3 linked regions of the Macaca mulatta genome follow. The main gene of each other region encodes a partner of the protein of the gene in region 2 in a complex. Links are inferred from orthologs where the notes say so. Each region holds a gene or a part of one and is shown on either strand. Other genes may lie near its edges.

Region 1 (6,789 bases), about 150 Mb from region 2:
CTGATTAGTACTGAGAATGTAGTTTGCTAAGTGAATTGCCATACCAGGAACACCATCAGTCCATATATACTTGCCATTTTTCTTTTTTTTTTTTTGAGATGGAGTCTGGCTCTGTCGCCCAGGCTGGAGTGCAGCGGCCGGATCTCCGCTCACTGCAAGCTCCGCCTCCCGGGTTTACGCCATTCTCCTGCCTCAGCCTCCCGAGTAGCTGGGACTACAGGCGCCGCCACCTCGCCCAGCTAGTTTTTTGTATTTTTTAGTAGAGACGGGGTTTCACCATGTTAGCCAGGATGGTCTCGATCTCCTGACCTCATGATCCGCCCGTCTCGGCCTCCCAAAGTGCTGGGATTACAGGCGTGAGCCAACGCGCCCGGCCTTTGCCATTTTTCTTTATAAAAATAGGGCTAAAGTATCTTAACCTTTTCAAAAATAATGTAATTTTTAGGGAGCAAAATGTAAAATATCTGAATTTTTTTAGTGTTGTTATGATGCCTTATGATTTATCTAATTGAAGACATAAACCTTAAATATCAATGGACAATGTAGACAAGAAAATTGTAATAATTTCTATTAGACTGTCAGCTGCATAAAAGCACAAAAAATATGTACTTTTAAGGGCCTGGCATATAATAAATAATACATGAATAAAAGTAAAATTAATTAATATTCAGGTTTTATAGGCAGCTGTGTCTTGAAAAGCTATAGGGTGGTTGTTGTCGTCTGCTATGGAGCTTCTCTACTGTGCTTTCATTTCAAATTGTGGGCTTAGAGCTTTCGGCTACCTTCAATTGCAGTGCAACAGCTGCCTAAAAACTAAGACTTACTGACTTTCATGGTAAAGGAGTATGGAAGATGGCCAGCTGTTACTAAGGACTATTGCCATCAGTCTAGCTTACTTAGATGTTTGACTGGCATAAGTCATGCTTCTCCATGCTCATCTTGGCTTTCATCGTTTGTTCTCCTTCCTGTTCCAGGTTTACTGTCATCCTTCCTATTTCTGTAGAAAAAGAGAAGTTTCCTGTTCCATCGCACCTTGAGTCCACCCATCTATGGTGAAAAGCAAACCCCGCCTCCCTAGAAGTTGTTCTATTCTTTGGGTTCTGCTACTCCAACATTCTCATTTGGAAGGAGAGCATATGCTGAATCAGTACAACAAAACCCCATTCAAATACATTCCCCAGCACCTACTGTGTGATTTGAGGCAAGTTAGTTTTTTTCCAAGCCTCGGTGTCATTATTTATTTAAGTTGGAATAATTGTTTCTCCCTCACAGTCATTTGGTGAGGAATGAAGAAGAAAATACATTTTACGGCCGGGCGCTGCAGCTCACACCTGTAATTCCAGCACTTTGGGAGGCCAAGGCGGGTGGATCACGAGGTCAGGAGATCGAGACCATCCTGGCTAACACGGTGAAACCCTGACTCTACTAAAAATATAAAACATTAGCCGGGCGTGGTGGCGGCGCCTGTAGTCCCAGCTACTGGGGAGGCTGAGGCAGGAGAATGGCGGGAACCCGGGAGGCGGAGCTTGCAGTGAGCTGAGATCCCGCCACTGCACTCCAGCCTGGGCGACAGAGCGAAACTCTGTCTAAAAAAAAAAAAAAAATTACTTAAGTCGCCAAAGGCTTGGCCTGAAATAGAGACTCAACCAGTGAGTTTCTTTTTTGTCAGCTTGTCATAGGATCTGCGTTTTCCCCAAGGCTCTGTAATATTGTCTTTCTTTCTGTGCTTTTTAAATGTGAATTATTGTGAAGACTTTGCTCCCTTCCCTTCTTCAGATACCCCTGTTCTTGATCAATATTTAACTTTTTTTTTTCTTGGAATTCTCTCCCTTTGTCTTTTTCATTTTTAACTTAATTTTATAAATTTACATTTTTCTTTCTTTTATAATTTTTTTTAACTTTCCTGTTGGCTTGTATCTCTACTCAAGAAGCCTACTGGTAGTTTGTAGCTTAGAAAACTTTAGGTTCAGAGAGATGTTGGCAAGATTGTCAAACTCTCCTTCATGATACAATAGCAACAACAACACACAGATCAATTTTCTTTGTGAGAAATACAAAAGGTAATTGTCGAGAAAATAGATCTTACAATAGAAATAAGAAAATAGTTCTTACAAAAATTTCCATATATTACAGATTCAAACATTCATAGTGTGGAATTACATCATTACATTATTAATGTAAGATTCATTAGTTTATTGAGCACCAACTTTAAGCAATGTTACACCCTCTGGGTACAAAAGTGAACAAGTATCTTCTCTCTTTGTATTTATAGTATAAATGAAGCAGCGTGATACAATATTATTTTATTAAATGAAGAGCAAGCTTTTTCCAAATGTTTGTAGCAAATCAAACACTATATCTGCATCTGCATACATTTAACCTCAGCCCTCTCCATGTGTCTCTGCAAGATGTTATTGTCAAGAGAAACATATTAACATAAGATCTATTTTCAAAAGTTATTATTATTTGCTACTAAAATGAAAGTTTATGCTATGCCACTTTGCTTAATCCTCAAAAAATGTTGAAAAATTTAAATATTCCTCTTTTCCTATGTATAGTGATGCTATTTTACAAATATTAGCAAAAAGATCCCTAATTTTCTGTCAGTAGAAAATTTTTGAGCTGTACTCACTCAAATTGTAAAACTCTTGAGTTCTTATATTCATTCTTCAGATTGCTTGATAGAAAGATCTCATCTATCTAGAAAAATGTAAAAGGTTGAATGAGTATACTAAATTTAAGATTTTAACTTTTGTTGAAAAATTTATGCAAAGCAATCTTTATGCTCTGCTTAGAATTGGGGGAATTTTCTCCATAGTAATGGGGCTCAGACATTTAAGTATTTTGGGTATATTACATTTATTCTCTAGTTGTTTCACAGTGACAAAATGGTGTTTTTGGCAAGTAGTTAGTTAAACTATGTTATAAAATTTTAAACCAGCTGAAGAGAGACAGTCTCCTACCATTTGCTGAAGGTCAAAAGCAAGAACTTTGAAATCCGCTGAGAGTTTGTCTTGCAAGTTAGGATTATATGTAACTCCGGATGTTATTTTAAATGTCCCTCTGACTTCATGACTTTGTCCAAGTGCTGCACCTAGATAAATTAATAAGGAAAAAAACACTAAGATTTTGGATTATGAGTAGGAAAAATATGCACATTCTGTTAAGACACAGAAGTAAAGCTCTTGCTTGATGTGTTAGCTCTGTAGTTCTTGCTTTTTCTTTGTAGTCTCATGTTTCAAAATCAGCTGCTTTCTGTCCCCAGCTGTCTGATTGTTTTAAAAGATTGGAAACTAAAGTTTTTTTCCATTCTTTCAATATTTTTTTTCTTTTCTTTGAAGTCTAACCCACACTCCAAGCTTCCAAGTTTTCATTATTATTGTTATTGAGATTCCTGTTGGAAGATACACGGACTGATGAACTCCCACCAATTATGGGAAGTGACTCAGGGAAACATGGTGAGAAGTGAACCATTAAAAGTTTTGTAGTTGCTTTCAGATACTTCTTGAACACCTAGCATCCAGGGACACCACTGGGTTTTGACATATGAATTGCTGTGAAGATTTCAGTATTTTGGTTACTTTGAAACATGACTTTGAAGCTACTTCTTTCATTCTAATAATTATAAAAATGTCATGCATGACCTTGTGCCATTAGCTGGTGACTGTCCTTGTTGAAGACGTTATTTAGAATGTGTAGAAAATAGATAACCTCACTAGGAAAAAAAATGTAAAAAAGAAGGTTAACAAATTAAATATAAACATGGATAATAAAATGTGTCATTAAGTCCTGCATAATTCCTTTATCAGCATATTTTCATGGACACTGATTTATGTTTAAAATGAATTGCTTCAACTGAAACTCACACAGTGATGAACTCATTAGTAAATATAATAATAATGACATATAATTCTCACAATAATTTGGTGTGACAAGACATTATTTCTTCTTTTCTGGGATAGGGTAATTGGTGTTTAGAATGATTAAGAAAATTTCTCAAGGTAGTAAATGTCTGAAGCAACAGATCTGGAATTTGGTCATCGAAATGATTGACTCCACAACCCAAGATCTCTATGTAATACATTCACACCAAACTATCCCATTAAGAGGATAATTAGAAATAATAATTCAAGCAGTATGTGTGCATATAGTCTAAATAACGTTAACTGCATTATTGATGTAACGTATTATTTATACTATTTCATTTGTATTTTAAAGACTCTAAATTAGATTGAAGTTTGCATGTTTAAATGCAGAATACAAGGAAGGACCGAGGAACTACAACCGATTAAAGGAGACTAAGGAAGCGTAATAACTAAATCTTACATAGGAATCTGCACTGGATCTTAACCTGGTAAAGGGTATTAGTGGAAAAACTGGTGAAATTTGAATAAAGTATGTGGTTCAGTTAACAATATTGTAGAAATGTTAATTTCTTGACTGTGGTAATTGTACTATGGATAAACAAAATATTAACATCCAAGGCAGCTGGGTTATATGAAAATTCTGTGCAATTTTTTCAACTTTTAAAAGTCTAAAGTGATGTCAAAAAAAGTATAAAAAATGTTAAAAGTAGTATGTGCTTTGAAAGCCCTAAAGACATCTGCAAAAAGGCTCCTGAAACTGATAAATGACTTCAGCAAAGTGTCAGGATACAGAATAAATGTACAATGTCAGTTGTATTTCTAAACACCAATTACATTCAAGCTGAGAACCAAATCAAGAATTTAATACCATTTTCGATAGTCATACAAAAGATAAAATACTTATGAATATCTCTCACCAAGGGTATAAAAGAGACCTGCAAGGAGAACTACGAAACACTGCTATAAAAATCAGATAACACAAACAAATGGAAATACTTCCATGCCAATGGACTGGAAGAATCAATGTTGTTAAAATGGCCATACTGCCCAAAGCAACCTACAGATTCAATGCTATTCCTATTAAACTATCAAACTCATTTTTCATAGAATCATAACAAATGATTCTAAAATTCATATGGAACTATGAAAGAGCCAGAATAGTCAAAGCAATCCTAGGCAAAAAACACAAAGTCAGAGGCATCACATTACACAACTTCATGCTATACGATAAGGCTATAGTAACTAAAACAGCATGGCAGTGGTACAAATACAGACACATAGTCTGCATCACATTACACAACTTCATGCTATACGATAAGGCTATAGTAACTAAAACAGCATGGTAGTGGTACAAATACAGACACATAGTCCAATAGAGCAGAATAGAGAACCCACAGTAAAGTGAAGCTACACACCTACAGTCATCTAATCTTTGACAAAGTTGACAAAAATAAACAATGAGGAAATAGTTAATAAACAGTGCTGGTATATCTGGCTGGCTATATGCAGAAGAATCAAACTGGACCCCTACCTTTCACCATATATAAAAATTAACTCCAGATAAATTAAAGATTTAAATTAAGACCTCAAACTCTAACAATCCTAGAGGAAAAAAAAGTAAAACATAATTCTGGAAATTATCCCTGGCAGACAGTTTAGGACTAAATCCTCAAAAGCAGTTGCAACGAAACCAAAAATTGGCAAGTGGGACCTAATTAAACTAAAGATCTTCTGCACAGCAAAATAAACTATCAGGAAAGTAAATATACAACCTATGGAATGGGAGGAAATACTTGCAAACTATGCATCTGAAAAAGGTCTAATATCCAGAATCTATAAGGAACTTAAATAATTGAACAAACAAAAAACAAACCCATTAAAAAGTGGGCAAAAAACATGAACAAGCACTTCTCAAAAAAGACATACGAGTGGCCAACAGATATTTTTTAAAATACTCATCAGCACTAATCACCAGAGAAGTGTAAATCAAAACCACAATGAGATACCATGTCATACTGGTCACCAATGGCTATTACCAAAGAGTTAAAAAACAAGAGATGTTGGCAAGGCTTTCAGAGAAACAGGAACACTTACACACTGTTGATAGAAATGTAAAGTAGTTCAGTCACTGTGCAAAGCAATTTGGCTATTTCTCAAACAACTTAAAACAGAAATACCATTTGACCCAGCAATCCCATTACTGGGTATATATCCGAAAGAAAATAAGTCATTCTACCCAAGAGACACATGCACTCACATGTTCATCACAGCACTGTTTACAATAGCAAAGTCATGGACTCAACCTAGGTGCCCATCAACGGTGTATTGGATAAAGAAAATGTGGTACATATACATTGTGGAATAAGATGCAGCCATAAAAAAGAATGAACTCATGTCCTTTACAGCAACATGGATGCAGCTAGAGGCCATTATCCTAAGCAAATTAATGCAGGAACAGAAAAAGCAAATACCACCTGTTCTCAAGCATAAGTGGGAGCTAAACAGCAGGAACTCATGGACATAAAGATGGCAACAATAGACACTGGGGACTACCAGAAGTGGAGAGTGGGAAAGGGGAAAGGGTTGACAAACTAACTTCTGGGTACTATGCTCAGTACCTGGGTGATGGCATCGTTCATTCCCCAAACCTCAACACATGCAATATACCCAGGTAACAAATCTGCACATGTGCCCCCTGAATCTAAAATAATAGTTTAAAAAGGAAAAAATAGTAGTATGCGTTATGATCTCTGGTGTGTTGGTAAAGCATTAACTTGCCCTTTTTATATTTAGTTGTTCACTGTTAAATTGTATTATCACCTATACATATTTATTTTCTACTTCCCTTGTAAAATAACTAACCTTCATATGTTTATTGAACATCAGGGATTCCAATGGACTTTCAAATGCTTATAGATCCTTC
Region 2 (7,451 bases):
TACCTTTTTAAAAGAGTCCCAAATAACTCATTTGAAGTGTCTTAAAGGCGAACAAATTTTATGAAAATGAATCCTTTCTCAGTTAATTGATCAAATGGGTGAATCCTGACCCTCTCTAGTTTCTTTCCCTGGTCATAGTGGGGAGCTGGTGTTAGCTGAGGGAGTCACTGCAGCGTCCTATCCCAAAATCAAAGAAGAGGAAAATGCAGTGTGCAGAGCTGGACTTGATTCGCAAGTTGCAGTCAGGCTCCCGCTGTGGTAGGCGGGACATCTCTCTAGCTGCTCACAGAGATGGAACTAGGGAGTTCAGGGAAAATTAGGGGGCCAGGGAGAATTACTTGAGTCTGATTTTCCAGGTGAACGAGAAGGGAGGGCTTGGTCGAGGGTTTGGTGCCAAAACATTCCTGGGAGAGGCATGTCATCACCAGTAGCATTTGTAATTATTGTTGTAATTTAGCAATAAGATTTAGCTCGTAAAATTTTTTGGGCTGTCTGGAAGATGCTGACACATTTTCTGTGCTGTGATTGTTCTGAAGGCAGAGTAGCTCCAACCACTGTGAGAAGCCCAAATAAAAATCAACCTCTCCACCAAAAGACCACCTTTCCAAACACACGTTTCTCTAGAAAAGAGTACCCCCTTTTCTCCCAAACTTCTTACTATTTTTGGATTCCATGTCCTTGTATGTGCTAATCTAGTGTACCATGCAACACATTTTGGGAGCTGGGGGCTCTGCTTACCTTTAAGGGGGGCACCCCAATCTGACCTGAGATTGGAGGATGCTTTCCAGTGTGAAGGAGTGTGAGGGAGCAGGCACAGACACAGTTAGAACAGGGTCACTTTACTGGTATAGAGACTGCAGCGGGACAGGGGGTTTAGCTGTTGGCAGCTATGGTGTCCTTAATCCAGGCCAAATAGTTGTAGACCTTGGTGTAGACTCCAGGCCTGTTCTTCTGGGCACAGCCATAGCCCCAGGACACAACTCCTTGGAGCTGTCCGTTGTAGACCACAGGTCCACCAGAGTCGCCCTAGGGAGAAGAAGGGACAAGTTGTATGGAGAGATGGAGGAGGAATATAGCTATATTTACTCTGAACCTTAAAAGACCCCTTTCAGGCAGCTCTGTGGCTCCACGTCCTTCTCACAGTGGCCCATTCTCTGTCCCTAAGCAGACAGCATGCAGCCCAAGGGAGCCTTCCTCACTTCTCCATGGGGATACTACAGGGAGCCTCCTCAGCCCCACCACCTTGGGAGTTGAAATCTTTTTCCAAGATGGGGCCTGGGTATCAGTGGGAGCTTCAGAATGGGAAGGGTTGTTCAAATCACCTGGCAGGAATCCTTGCCTCCCTCAAGGAAGCCCACACAGAACATGTTACTGGTAATCTTTCCAGGGTAGGAGGCTTCACACTCAGCCTGGGTCAGCACAGGAGCGTCCAGGCACTTCAGCTCATCTGGGTAGTCGGCTGTGAGGATCAGGAAGAGATCAAAGAAAGTAGAAATGTGGGTTAGGCCAGAGAAGGAGACAATAATCTAGGTTGGAACATTGAAGAGGAACACTGCCCCTGGAGAGGGCTCCAAAACATAAGTCCTGACAAGGGACTCTGGCTTTTAGTTCCCAGAATGATCATTGTTGAACCCCTCCCAAAATGTGATCAGGGCAAGTTCTCCATTTGTCCTGTCTTTTGAATTAGGAGCCAAGTCCTTAGACTTTGCATCTCTCTCATGTTCAGTCCAGAGCCTGTGTATAATGGGCACTGGAAATGTGTCTTAAGCCTGGGGGCGAGAGGATTCAAGTTAAGGGATATGCTTCATTCTGGAAATTGGGAGGATGGAGGGAAGTAGAAAGACAAAGGGTCCCACTCACCGCCAGAGCTCAGAGTGTTGCCCCAGCCAGAGATGAGGCACACAGTGCCAGGAGCTGGAGGGGCAGTGGGCAGAGAGATGGTGGACACACGGGCATTGATGACAGCAGGTGTGGAAAGCTTGATCAGCATGATGTCATTGTTATATTTCTTAACCTCGTTGTATTTGGGGTGCGGGATGATCTTGGCTGCATTGATGAATTGCTCAGTCCCCTCCAGGACTTCGATGTTATGCTCTCCCAGTCTCACCTGGATGCGGCTGATGGGCAGGGCAGGCGTGGTGAAGACCTTCCTCCACTGCTGGGGTACCCATCCCACCATCCCCAGGGTCCTTAAGCTCCCTGCTCATGGACAGCTCTGGAGCCATGGGGTGGAGTATGTGGTCATATCACATGGGCAGGAGAGGGATGTGGGTCAGTGCAGGTGTGAGACCCAGGACCTTTCTGCTTCAGAGGTCGTTAGTGGGGTGCGGAAGAGTCAAAGGGATGCACCAGAGGCTGCTCCTCATCCCGCCTTCCCAGCCTCTTTCCCACAATTTCCACAGTCACCAGCACTGTGGGCACAAAGAGCTCCTTGTAGTTTTCCCAGCGTTCTTCACCCCAGGCCTTTGCTAACTGTGCACAGTGCCTGTTCCTCCCTCCCTTCTTGGCCTGGTGAGCACCACCCTTCTGTGTAATCTAATCCAAGGGTAGCCACAGCATTAGCATCTCCTGGAAACTTGTTAGAAATGTAAATTCTTGGGCCTTACTCCCACCTACTGATCAGAACCTTGGGGATGGGACCCAGTGATTTGTGCCTTAACAAGCCTGCAGGTGGTTCTGATGCCTACTCAGGTTTGAGAGTTCTTGGCGGAGGCGGCAGTTCTCAGCTCTGTCTATAGATTCTATAGTTACCAGAGGTAGAGTGTGAAATACTCACTGATATTCACACCCTCTTCCTGAAAATTTTGAGTTAATTGCCCTGAGATAGGACACAGGCATCAGTATTTTTAAAAACTCTTTCCTAGGTGGCTTTATTGTGTAGCTAACCAGCAAAAGTACTTGCCTGCTTTTCTCACAAGCTCAGTCCATCCAAGATCATCCCTGCCTGCTTTTATGACCACAACCCTTGCTGTTTCATGGATTTGCCTGGGTGTGAGAGGTTCCTGTCTTGTGTTCACTCTCTGCTCTGAAGAGTCAGCTACTGCCAACAGGTTTTCTTTTTCACTACCTCTCCCGTCCATCTTACCCACCTCAGTGATTCCGTGGGCTAAAGCCAAGCTCGCCCAGGCAACCTGGCTGGGAGCTTTGCAGTCAGGGACCCCACACTTACGGCTTGTAGCAGTGAGCTGCTGACACCACCCACTGTTTGTTAATGAGGGAGCCACCACAGAAGTGGTAGCCATAATTCAGGGACACCTGGTAGGGGACAGAATTCTCCTCACAGGTGTAGCCTCCAACGATCTTGTCATCATCGTCAAAGGGGGCAGCAACTGGAGTGGAGATGGGAAGGGAGAAGGCAAGTCAGTTGCATGTTAGGGGTGGTGCTCCCAGCCTGCAGTTGCTTTCTGCTAATTAGAAATCCTTAAGAAGCTCAGTGAGGCTAGGCAAGGGAGGGAGCGCTGGCACCCCTGGTGAGCATCACTGGATGTGGCTCCCAAGTCTCTGTGTCTGCAGGGTGCATAGCTAGGTACCCTGCAGGTGTTCAGATCTCTCCTGGGGTCACCAGGCTGAGGATGCAAGGAATGTCCTCACAATGCTTCCAGTGGGATAGGAGTTGGGATGTGTCTGTCTCACCCACTGAATGCTTCTCTCTTTTATTCACCACCTGTGTACTCCACCTGGCTGTTTAAGCCCTGGATGGTCAGGATACTTTGGCCAAGCTAGGAAAACCGCTGGCTGTGTAGACCTGGCCATGACCAGCTTCCCCCACAGCCCAGATCTGTGTAGTGAAGGCAGAATTGAGGGATGCCCCGGGCTCACTTCGGCAGAACAAAGGTAGACGTTATTATTGTCCAAAAGAACAGCAATTCTTAACCTTGGCTGCATGTCTAGAAATGTTAAAAATCACCTGGGAAGCTTAAAAGCCCAGAACACAGGCTGCACCCCAGACAAATGAAGTGAGAATTTCTAGAGTTGAGTCTCTGGCATGAGTAATTTTTCCACCTCCCCAGGTGCATTTGAGGTTAACAGCAGCTATAGTGGAGGTATTCTGGTGCTGTGGGAGCCAAGCCTGAAGCCTGCTGCTTTATTTCGTGGGCCCACCCCACCTGGTCTCCCTTCCCAGCATCTCCAACCACAGCTCGTATATGGATGAATTGTAGTGGTGGGAGTGAAATCAGGGAGAAGGTGAAAGAGGTGAGGCTTAAAGAGAGCCCAGGGAGGATGGGAAGTAAAGATGCCAGATGGAGGAAATAGAATATCAGAGCACAGTCAAAAGAGGAGAGGTGGCAAGAATGGAAGGGCATGTGTCTGCCAGGAGGGGTGGTTGGGGCCTGAGGCAGGGCATGAAACTCACCAGCCGCTCCCACAAAGGCAAGGATCAGGAGTGGATTCATGGTGGTAGAGTGTCCCTGACTGGTGGTGGAGGACCAGTCTTTATACCTCCCGAGGATTGGGAGAGGAAGTGTCTGTGAGGTGAGGGTCACTGCTCCTCGCAGGACCAACAAACCTGCAGCTTTCCCCTTCCCAGGGTCTTGCATCAGCTCAGCTATGTTTGGCCACTCTGTGGGTTTGTGATTCACAGGTGATAAGGGAACTTGCCTTCAGAGAGCAGAGAGGGAGACTGGCTGTTTCCTGCAAGGATTCTGGGATGGGGAAGACAGGGAAAATCAAGCCCCCAATCACACAGCTGTGATTTCTCAGGCCGAGGAGGTGAGGGTTAGAAGGAGGGAGAATGGCCTGGCTGTTAGGAATCGTTTAAACTATTGGGGATGTATTTAATGTACTTAAGGAAGGGCAAGCGTTGGTAACAAGCTTTGCTTTTCAGTGTCCTGAAGCCCCCATGAGAGGAGCAAAGTCGTATCTAAGGCTCGTTTCTGTGAATATGAAGATGCATCTCTCCAGTCAGCATGTGGCACGGTTAAATCTAAGGCTTTGGGGAATAAGAATTCCAAAACTAAGGGGTAAGGAGAAGGGGGACTCAGCATCCCATAGGATTCTGGGCTTCCAGATGGCTCTCCTTCCTATGAAGGCTTAAGGATGGGAAGTGTTTCAAAGAAGGAAGGGCACAGTTTAGGTAGGAACTTACTCAGTGCCTCTGGAGCATGGAAGATCAATGGTGTACTCCTCCCCTTCTTCAATGTGAAGACATTTGTCTGTCTCATATGTACCCTGTCATAGGTATTTTTTATGCAGCCTCACAGTGCCCTGGCAATTGGCACTCAGGGTGATGCAAACTGACCCACCTGCTCAGGACTGACAACCTGAACCAGAATAACATGCCCCCGATCAGATGTCAGAGTTTGGACCATGGTAAATCTGGGATCTGATCTGATCTGAGAATCAGCAGAGGTGGAGATTTTAGCACATGGTAAATGGGTCACATATTGGGTTCAATAACGAAGATGTGGAGGGGTGGGTCTAGAATTTTCTATTTTCGATGCAGTGAGATTATGCTGTGCTCAGTACAAAGTGAATCTTCCCAGAGAATATCCTGATTTGGGCCCTACCAATGCTACTAAGACACAGTTGTGTAATTGATTGAGGCATAACCTGGCCAGAGCAGTGTGGAGATGGAGATGCTGTCTGTACTCAGGTCTAGTGATGTAAAGAAAGGAGGAGCTTGCTTATGAGGGTGCTTTCCCTTCTCAGCAACTCTGAGTTTGGCTGGTGATGGGCAGGAGTGAGCAGAGTTCAAGTTCGAATTCTTTGAAAGGTAAAAGAAGCAGCAGTGTTCTGAAGACGATGAACAAAATCAGAAAAGCTCAGAAACTTGGTGGTGAAATTTGACATGACCAGGCGCTAGAGGGAGGAAGCAAATGGAAACCAGAGGGAATCAGAAAAATTGCCAAAGTGGGGCCCGTGGAGTTGAGAGGGCACACAGAGTACCTTCGGGTTCAACTCCCGGCATGGCCACCGATCCAGCTTCCCGACAGCCAGGAGACCCACTGCTCTGAGACACCCTCTTCACCCCGTACCCTGTCTAATCACTGTTGGGCTCAAACCTAACGCTGCTGTACTTGGATGGTGTATGGTGTCTGACAGCTTTACACGTTTTTAAATAAGCAAGAGTGGTGCATAGCTTTTCGTTTATGCTGAGGTTCACAGTTTAACTTCCCACAAACATGCTAATTGTGATTTGTGTGGAACAAAATTATTTCCATTTATAGAGGAAGACAATGAGATTCAGAGGGATTCGGTCTTTCCCAAGAATACAGATCTTGGCAGAGCTGACCATAAGGCCAACGGAAGCCATGGAGAGCGTTGTGAAGTATGGGAATTGCTGCAGGTGGCATCTAAAAGGAGATTCATTGGGGATCAAGACATAGGTCCCCAGAGGACAAACGGTACATTTGATTCCTTCCTGGTCTTTTCTTCCTGGCAGAAATAGATGATTGAATTGATCTTTCTCCTGGCACTTTGTCTTACAGCCTTATCTTGCCACCGTTCCAGACCCATCTAGGCCATGACTTCCATGTAGATGACACACTTCTCTGCTCACACATAACTGGCCAAGTCTGAGGTATCCAGGTTTTGGAGCATTGATAATATGGGTTTTTCCTGTGTTGTCCCTAAACATGTTTCATTTTGTCCCCTTGTCATGGGGTCTTCACAGAACTCCTGCCTTGGAGGATAAGGAGAGACTCTTGCTGTAGCAACTGTAGACACCAGTGTGCACTAAACAGGGAGGTGAACCTTGGTAGAAGATGGAAAATGTGTTTGGAAAAGGGGATTTTTGGATCAGTGCTTGTGGCTCTCACTCTCTGTCTGAAAGGCAACACCCCAGAATATGAGGATTTCTGTATCTAGTGCTTGAAGACTAGACTTCTCCAGTATTTTACACTCTTCCTTAAATGATCACAGTATAGTCTGAGGTCAGCTTTGTTCAAAAATGAATGACCTTATAGGCAGAGAACATAGCTATAGGTGGAGACTGTTACCTCATACCGTAGACTCGCATGTGTAGGACAGGTTCAGATTCAGCTGCCCGAGCTCAATTTGGAGGACATGCCATTCTTGCTACTGTTCATTCTGAGCTACAGTTTTCTTTGTCTGCTTCTCTAAGACATCTTTCTGGCTTGTATTTAGTGCTTAGCACACCAAACCACTGTCCTTCAATTATGATAACAGTGAATCATTTTTGTGAGCTTACTATATAGCATGTAACTTAATATACAGCATGTAACTCACTATACAGCATGTAACTCATACAAGTTAAGAATGTGTTTTTCATTTTATCCTCACAACCAACTATGGGATTCCCCATTTTACAGATGATCAAATGAGCTTTCTGGAGGTGACGTGACTCTCCCATCTCCCAGAGCAGCCTCTCCCAGCCAGAGCTGACCCTGCCTTCACCTAAGATCTTGACAAAGCAGCCAGAGCTGGAAAGAACCAAAAGGGAAGCTTTCAATGACTTTTAGCCACTTTGTCCCCCTTTTTTTCTCTCCTCC
Region 3 (7,562 bases), on a different chromosome or scaffold from region 2:
CTCGCCTGGCTAGTTTTTTGTATTTTTTAGTAGAGACGGGGTTTCACCGTGTTAGCCAGGATGGTCTCGATCTCCTGACCTCGTGATCCACCCGTCTCGGCCTCCCAAAGTGCTGGGATTACAGGCTTGAGCCACCGCACCCGACCTAGGGCCAGTTTTTAACTAGAATTCATCTAAGTATTGTAGTGATTTAAAAAACAAGATTGTCTGGGGTCCACAGGATATGTTTCTGTAGTGAAATATTTTTCTAATTACAGATTAGTATTGGTGAACTGAGATGGAATAGAATAAAAAAATCTATCAAGAGTCCTCATTATAATAAGACTATGTTTTATTTTTTAACAACTGTGTTTGTCTGCTCCCACATCTACATATAATACATATACTAGGCCATACCCCAAAATTTTTACTTTAGGTTCACAGCCAAATGTTTAAAAAGCACTGTTTGGTGAAAAGAGCCGAGGCTTTGGCATCAGGCAGGCCTAAATCTAAAGTTATTACTGTTGCTATTATTATCTAATGAGTTTATGTGACCAGATTCCAGCCAACTCCCTTCTCCCCACACTGCTTGTGAGACCCAAGGGAAAAAAATCCTTTTCTCACATATGAACCCTCCTTAACAGTGGTTATTGGAAGTTTCTTACTCGCCACAAAACTACTATTTAAATAATGATTTGAGATGAAAAGAACAAATATATTTTCATCCCAAATCAAATCAAATATGATTCAACCAATATCTATCAATGCTAAGACTAAACTCCATGAGGGCAGACATCATATCCATTTCCCCAGCACTCAGCCAAAAGTTTTTGTATAGTAAGGACTTGATGGATATTTGAATATACTAATAGTTGAAGGAATAAAAGGCCTGATGATGAGCCAATGAATGGCTACTCAACTGGAGGCACTGGAGACACAGAAATGAACAAGGCATAAACCTTGGTCTTCAGAAGTATATACATTTATCTCTTAATTTATGTTTTTAGGAAATATTTATTTAGTGTCTACTATTTTCCAGACACTTTATTAAGTGCTACAATAAATAAAGCAGCTGTATTTGCTCTCTAAAAATAAAGAGATATTACATAATAATCATACAAATAGCTGTAGAGTTGGAATTATTTTAAGTGCAATGAAGGGTTTTATGAAATCATACAATAGGAGGCATTAATCTAGATGCAGAAAGAAGTAAAGGAAGACCCAGAAAGAATGGCTTAATGAGAAAATACCTACCACTTAACCTTTTAACCTTAGAGGGTGCAAAGCTGTTTTGTTTTGTTTTCTTGGCCCTAGCAAAGGGTAACAGAGAAATGACCAAAGTAGCAAGGAAATAACCGGATTGAGCAAGGAAGAACCTCTTGGGGAATAAAGATAGAAAGGAGCCAAGTCATGCAGAACCTAAATTCTTCCTGAGCATTCTGAACAATGAGAAACTGGACAGAGACATTATCAAATTTGCAGTCCATAAACATCCCTTGACTGTTCCATGGGCAGCAACTTTAAGGAAGAAATAACAACAAATATTGAGAAACTCTTTGCAGGAAATGCAGAAACCCAGGGGGGAAATGATGGCGTTGTCTTAGATATGACAGTGGAAGCTAATGAGAAGTGTCCGGGGTTGAGGTTATTTTGAACACGAATCCAAGAAGAGAACTTAGTAGCAAATTAAGTGTGGAAGATGATGCATAGAAAGGGGAAAGGGAAATATCAGGGAGAACAATGAGGTTTGGGCTTGAGTGATCTACTGGAAAGAAAAGAAGCTGTAGGGAGAATAGAGACAAAAATACTGTGGTGAAAGATCAAAATAGTAGTATGGGACATATTAGATTTGAAGTAGCTGTAAAACATCCAAATAGTGATGTCAAGAACTAAACACTTCCAAAGCTTCCCTTTGATAAAAACCAAAGTCCTTACTCTAGCCTACACTAGATCTAGACCCTCACTGCTTCCTTTATTTCATCTCCCATTCTGCCCTCTATCACTTTGCTGGAAGCCAGACTGTCCTCCTGGATGTTTCTCAAACATGTCAAACCAACGTCAGCCTCACAGCCTTTGCACTTACTATTCTCTCTGTCTGGAATGCACATCCTTGGAATAATTACATAGTTCAAATCCTCATTTCCTTCATGTCTCTGTTTGATATCACCTGAAAAGCAAGACTTCTTCTGATTATGCTATAATACATATCTCCTTAACCCTCCAGCACCCTTATCCTTCCTATCCATTTCTCCATAATAGATATCTGATATATTTTATAATCATTTATTATTTTTTGTCACCTGCCTCCCTCAACAAAAATGCAATGGAAGCTCCATGAAGACAGAGATTGTTATTTTTATTTACTGATCTGTCTCGAGAGATAAATACAGTTCTTGTCATGACTTGGAAAGGGTTTGAGATTTTATCTTACTTGGAAGCTAAGAAGTTAACCTGCCACATTATAATGGTTTCTGGCAGAAGGCACAGACTCCTGGCTCAGAGATAAGGGACTTAATTATTCCATAGCAACAGCCAGAGTGTTGGAATTTGTTCTGGTTTCCCAAGCCCCAATTTCCACAGGCCAATGTAAGGCACATCAAGTGATACTTGCAGCGAAAGTACAATGTGTTAAAGGAAAGCAAGGCCAAGCTTTTAAAAACCCGAAATCTTTTAAATAGGGCAATTAACATGATCTTTGCCCTAGAAGGAGATATTAACTTTATTACACTAAACAGTAAACAAACCTGACTTTTGATGCAGAGGGAGACATTACATATTTGCTAAGGTCATTTGCTATACAAACACCCTTAAAAAGATAGTCTGAAACAAAGGTTATCGGTACCTCTACTCATAAGACATGCAGAAACATGAGAGAGGATGGAGAATTCTCTTCCAACAACACATGGTAGATAACCAGCACATATTCTCAAATGAAAGAGTAACCCTTTGAGTTAGATGTTATTATTATTTTAATTTCCAGATGAATACACAGAAGCACAGCAAAAGTGACTCCAACAAGCACCCTCTACTCTAGAATACACGCTTTAGGGAACTGAGTCCTCTCTCTCTCTCTCTTGCTCTCTCTTTCCCTCTCATCTGCCACTCCATCAGCTACTCTAAGCTTTGTGAATGGGTGATAGAAAAATAGAGAAAAGAGAAAGAAGAATAAGAAATGAAGAGTGGAGGAAAGGAAGAAAGAATGGAGAGGTTTTATCCTACTTGGAATAAAATTCTTTCTAGTCGCTATCCATACCTGCTCATCTATCCAGACCTACAGAGTAGAAGGGATCTTTGGGTTTACCTTACAGGGGAGAAAACAGGCTTCAGAAGGGTATGACTTTCCCCCAACCATAGAGAGAGCGGGATCAAACTAACCACTAGAACTATTTTCCTGACAGAATGTTTGCCTTGCATGTTTCAGGCCCACCTGGCTCCTTTCACCTTTCTTACGCAGGTGACATTCCCAGAACCTGGAGGCCAGGCTACAACACAGAGTCAATCAATAACCAGGGAGATCTATGATATAGCCCAGTAGGTGGGGCCTTGCTGTCGTCTGCCATATGACCCTTCCAGTCCCAGGCTTCTGAAGAGACGTGGTAAGTGCAGTGCAGTTTTCAACTGACCTCTGGACGCAGAATTTCAGCCATGAAGGTAACAGGCATCTTTCTTCTCAGTGCCTTGGCCCTGTTGAGTCTATCTGGTAAGTGTTTTTGCATATTTTTCAAATTTAAATAAAATCATTTTGACCTGTTGCTTTGTGGAGCACATTATCTTCTAGACTTTTGATGTAGTCTAGTCTTCGAGAGATCTTTTGGACCTAGTGAGATGAAATAGAATCCACAGATAAGAATTATTTTTTAAGAGGGATTTTTAACTTACTACAAGGAAAACAATTCTGCTAGTAAGAACTGCCTAGAGATAAAATGGTTTTCCTCTATTGATGTGGCTGACACTTTGTTGGAATACGGTAGAGAAAAAAGGGTAAAAATATTTCAATTTTAACTATACTTCTAATTTTGTAAATGTGTAAGGCCAAATTACAATAATATATGTGATATAAAGGGGAGTTTTTATTTTCAGTTTCTGGTATTTCTTATTAGTATCTGGAAATACAAAAATTGCATTTTGTGTATTTACATTACACGTTTTGAATGTTTTGAAAGAAAACATTCTGCTTGAATAGATGGTGCACATATACCCCCAACTGCATCTTGACAATGTTAACAGACAACTCTGAACCCTCAGAGCCAAGATCAGTTTCCTTTTTATCATTGGAAATAGTTAACATTTTCAACTTCACCTCTCATGTAGCGACGGATCCTGTGGAGAGCCAAATCAGCACTTTGCTAAGAAGAGGAAGAATATTGTTTGTTGTATTCGCCGAATACTTATGGCAGCTGTCAGTGTTCCCTTTCCCCCTCCTCGTGCATGTTAATTAATACAAATAGATGCTTGTGATGAGCACCTGTTCATCAGTTTTTAGATTCAACTAGATTCTAAAAGCCAGTGGGCCCCCAACAACATCAAGTTCTGACTATCCTGGGGGAAATTCTCCAAGCTCTTAGATGCCTCGCTAATTTTCATTACATTTAGATACAAAGAACTACCTCTTTACCCAGATCACCTCAAAGATTGATGATATTAAAAATTAATTTTCACAAATATTTCCTTATTTGGATGCTATCAGATTAATCCCTTTCGCTTCCATGAACTCATCCACAGTTATCATTTTCTACATGTTGTCAGCAAAACCTATGCTATCTTCCGGGGAACGGAGATTAGCTATTTTGACTACCTGTAAATTCAATAAATGTGAGTTGGACCCATAGTCCATATGATGCAATTGTTGGAAATAGCTTTTTGGGAACTGATAGTGAGTTGGCAAAAGAGCTCTATTTTTTCAACATTACTTACAAAAGAGAATTTAAGTGTAATTGAAAAAGCTAATTTTGCATCAGAAGGCCTGGTTACTGCTTGTGATAACTGTTTCACAGCTTTTCATCTGTAAACAGATAGAAAGTATACTTCACTAATTGTGAGATTAAAGATCTAGTAACTGGTTTTGAGAATGTTTGTGAGGATTCAAAAGATAATTTGCTCAGTGCCTGATACATTTCCAGCAGTAAGTACATAATTTCTATTTTCAAGGAAATAGATCAACTTCCTAAAACATCAAATTGAGATACTTTGGTCATAATCAAAGTTTTACTTAATCTTTTTAAGGTTTTGCCAGGGAGGGGGTGCAGGAAAATCAGTCAGATACTTTTGGAGGATTATAGAAATCAGAAAGGGTAGGGAATGAAAGAGCCTAGTAAAGAAGTCATGGTCTGCAGTGAAAGCAGAGAATTCTGAGGAAGAATAGATCTGACTTCTCTCGTTTAGGACCCAACTTACCATATCTGATTATTTCCAGGTAACACTGGAGCTGACTCCCTGGGAAGAGAGGTAAAGAGATATTTGTAATTTCTTATTTCTCAGGCTGGAACAGTTTGATCCAACAAAAATGCAGCCTTGCTGTCACCTTTCAGTTGAGCCTGAAGTTAAGAGGAGTATGAATGCTAGGGAGGGTTAATGTGTGAAATGCAAACGGTAATAGTAGTTCCACCCCACAGGCATATATTGAAGGACAATTTCACTGATGTATAAGCAAGTTCTATATAGTCCTACAGTGCTTGCTGTGAAGGGGTTTTTATATAAACTAGTGATAGCTGTAAACAAGTATTTGGGGTGGAAGCCTTCTCAAGTTCACTCCAAGTAGCCCTTCCTCCTTACAGCCAGTTTGACCATGTTGGCATGCAGCTTCCCCAATGACCAAGGTGTGGCTCTAATTTATAATGAACAACAGAAAACAATAAACTAGGTTCTTCTTCTAGAAAAATATTCTAACTCTAATCTTTTCATATTTTTTTGTTTAAAAGGTAATTTCAGTAAATTTGGAGACCAGAGGAAGAAGTGTCCCTCTTCTCAGTACATTTATATCTAGTCAGAGACAGCTAATAGACCAAAAGTTCATGAATGAACACATGATTACATTTGTGATAAGTGTTATGAAAAAGATATGCTGCCATTAAGAACTTAGCCTAGTTAGAGAGATCAGGGAGGGTGCTCCGAAGTAAGTGAGGGGTCATTTTGAGCCAAAAATAATAATAATAATAATAATAATGAGTGTTAGCAAAGCAAAACTGGTGGGGAGATGTAGTAGAATGAAGTAGTTAAGAGCTAAAGCTCAGGAACTCTGACTAGGTTTGAATTCTGAATTTAGGAATTCCTTAGCTAGGTGTCCTTGGCTAATTTTATTGCTTTGTGCCTCATTATCTTCACCTGAAGAAGAATATAATACTTAGTTCACAGGATAGTTAGGCGGTTTAAACAGAATAATATGTAAAAAGCACTAGGACAGTGTCTAGGACAATGCCAATCATTTGATGATTATAAACTCTTACTAGAGTAGAATGCAAAGACTTCCAACACTGGATGTTGGCTAGTGCCTTTAAGTGCCTAATAGAAGGCCAGTGTGTGTGGACTATAGTGTACAAGGAAGAACATACCTCAAGATGTGGCCAGCCTGAGAGATGCCAGCATCTGCAGTAACTGTAAACTTGAACATTATCTCACCCATCCGTGCAAACCTCACAACAACACTATGAGATAGGTGGGAAATGGTAATATCATCACCATTTTGCAGATGAACTGACTGAGTTTCAGAAGGGCCATAGGACTTACTAATGTCACACAGTTTAGAAATAGCAGAGGCATGACTTAAAACAAGGTTTTCTGTCTCGAGATCTTAGGTTATTTCTCTTACAACACACAGTATCGTTCTCCCAATCACAGTTGTGCCCCAGAGAAATTAAAACCATTTCAGAGATTTTGCTATGAACTCAAGAATGGAGAATAATGGGAAATGATTCTGTTTAATTCCATTTTTAGGCCAAATGTTACAATGAACTTACTGGATGCACCAAGATATATGACCCTGTCTGTGGGACTGATGGAAAAACTTATCCCAATGAATGTGTGCTATGTTTTGAAAATCAGTGAGTACAAACTTGAGTTTCTTTTAAACTATATATTTTAAGATAGTTATCTTCAAATATACTGATAATATGAATCTCACCCTGAGAGAAGCAAACTATTTACTTTTTCCAAAAACAGTTATCTCTTTCTTATTCTCCTTTTTATACATTTAGCATTATAATATTATTTTTAAAAAGTCACTTTTATGATAAAAGTCTACATTTTTACAGCAAAATAGTTGATAGATTGGATTTTTATTAATCTTATACACACAAAATACCTTTAATTAAAAAGAAATATTAGTGGTTGCAATGATTGTGTTTTTTAAAGCTCTCATTTATGCAAATATAAATTGTATAGATTATATAACCAAAAATGTATTTTTACTCATGGATATGAAAGCCAGTTTCAGTAAAGCTTCATTTTCTCAGTATCCATGAGTAAGAGATGGGATACAGAGAAACAGATTCGACACAAATTTCCTATCTCACTCAGCAACTGAAACCTTAGCATGTGTAAAGCATTATGCTAATATTCCTTGTCTTACTGGTGCTTATGACTAAGAA

What was found.
Region 1: the proteins of putative trypsin-6 (region 2) and TMPRSS15 are in contact, whole or in part, in a cryo-EM structure (PDB 8ZIV), measured with the Homo sapiens proteins. The link is inferred for Macaca mulatta from reciprocal best matches to the Homo sapiens genes PRSS1 and TMPRSS15. Residues at the interface, in NP_002760.1 of Homo sapiens: Phe18, Asp19, Asp20, Asp22, Lys23, Ile24, Val25, Tyr45, His46, Phe47, Cys48, His63, Cys64, Tyr65, Lys66, Arg68, Ala91, Lys92, Arg95, His96, Arg101, Lys102, Leu104, Asn146, Tyr175, Phe188, Leu189, Glu190, Gly191, Gly192; in NP_001414986.1 of Homo sapiens: Tyr276, Thr277, Ile279, Trp297, Glu298, Leu316, Glu318, Asp320, Glu321, Ile369, Gln370, Ser372, Phe374, Pro376, Phe377, Ala389, Gly399, Pro400, Gly401, Gly402, Arg403, Glu405, Glu432, Asn433, Lys485, Ile486, Leu487, Val513, Pro514, Thr515.
Region 3: the proteins of putative trypsin-6 (region 2) and SPINK1 are in contact, whole or in part, in a crystal structure (PDB 7QE9), measured with the Homo sapiens proteins. The link is inferred for Macaca mulatta from reciprocal best matches to the Homo sapiens genes PRSS1 and SPINK1. Residues at the interface, in NP_002760.1 of Homo sapiens: Tyr45, His46, Phe47, Cys48, His63, Cys64, Lys66, Arg101, Lys102, Thr103, Leu104, Tyr154, Tyr175, Lys178, Asp194, Ser195, Cys196, Gln197, Gly198, Asp199, Val214, Ser215, Trp216, Gly217, Asp218, Gly219, Gly227; in NP_001341895.1 of Homo sapiens: Tyr33, Glu35, Leu36, Asn37, Gly38, Cys39, Thr40, Lys41, Ile42, Tyr43, Asp44, Pro45, Pro55, Asn56, Val59, Phe62.

What each region holds. Positions count from the first base shown.
Region 1 is NC_133408.1:29,315,920-29,322,708, reverse strand, and holds part of TMPRSS15 (enteropeptidase), read right to left. Parts: intron 3,095-6,789; coding exon 2,964-3,094; intron 2,701-2,963; coding exon 2,633-2,700; intron 1-2,632. UniProt on the Homo sapiens protein: Responsible for initiating activation of pancreatic proteolytic proenzymes (trypsin, chymotrypsin and carboxypeptidase A).
Region 2 is NC_133408.1:182,662,414-182,669,864, reverse strand, and holds putative trypsin-6, read right to left. Parts: upstream 4,514-7,451; 5' UTR 4,395-4,513; coding exon 4,355-4,394; intron 3,330-4,354; coding exon 3,170-3,329; intron 2,118-3,169; coding exon 1,861-2,117; intron 1,460-1,860; coding exon 1,323-1,459; intron 1,027-1,322; coding exon 874-1,026; 3' UTR 819-873; downstream 1-818. UniProt on the Homo sapiens protein: Has activity against the synthetic substrates Boc-Phe-Ser-Arg-Mec, Boc-Leu-Thr-Arg-Mec, Boc-Gln-Ala-Arg-Mec and Boc-Val-Pro-Arg-Mec. The single-chain form is more active than the two-chain form against all of these substrates.
Region 3 is NC_133411.1:156,707,920-156,715,481, reverse strand, and holds the start of SPINK1 (serine protease inhibitor Kazal-type 1), read left to right. Parts: upstream 1-3,400; 5' UTR 3,401-3,624; coding exon 3,625-3,679; intron 3,680-5,392; coding exon 5,393-5,424; intron 5,425-6,909; coding exon 6,910-7,016; intron 7,017-7,562. UniProt on the Homo sapiens protein: Serine protease inhibitor which exhibits anti-trypsin activity. In the pancreas, protects against trypsin-catalyzed premature activation of zymogens.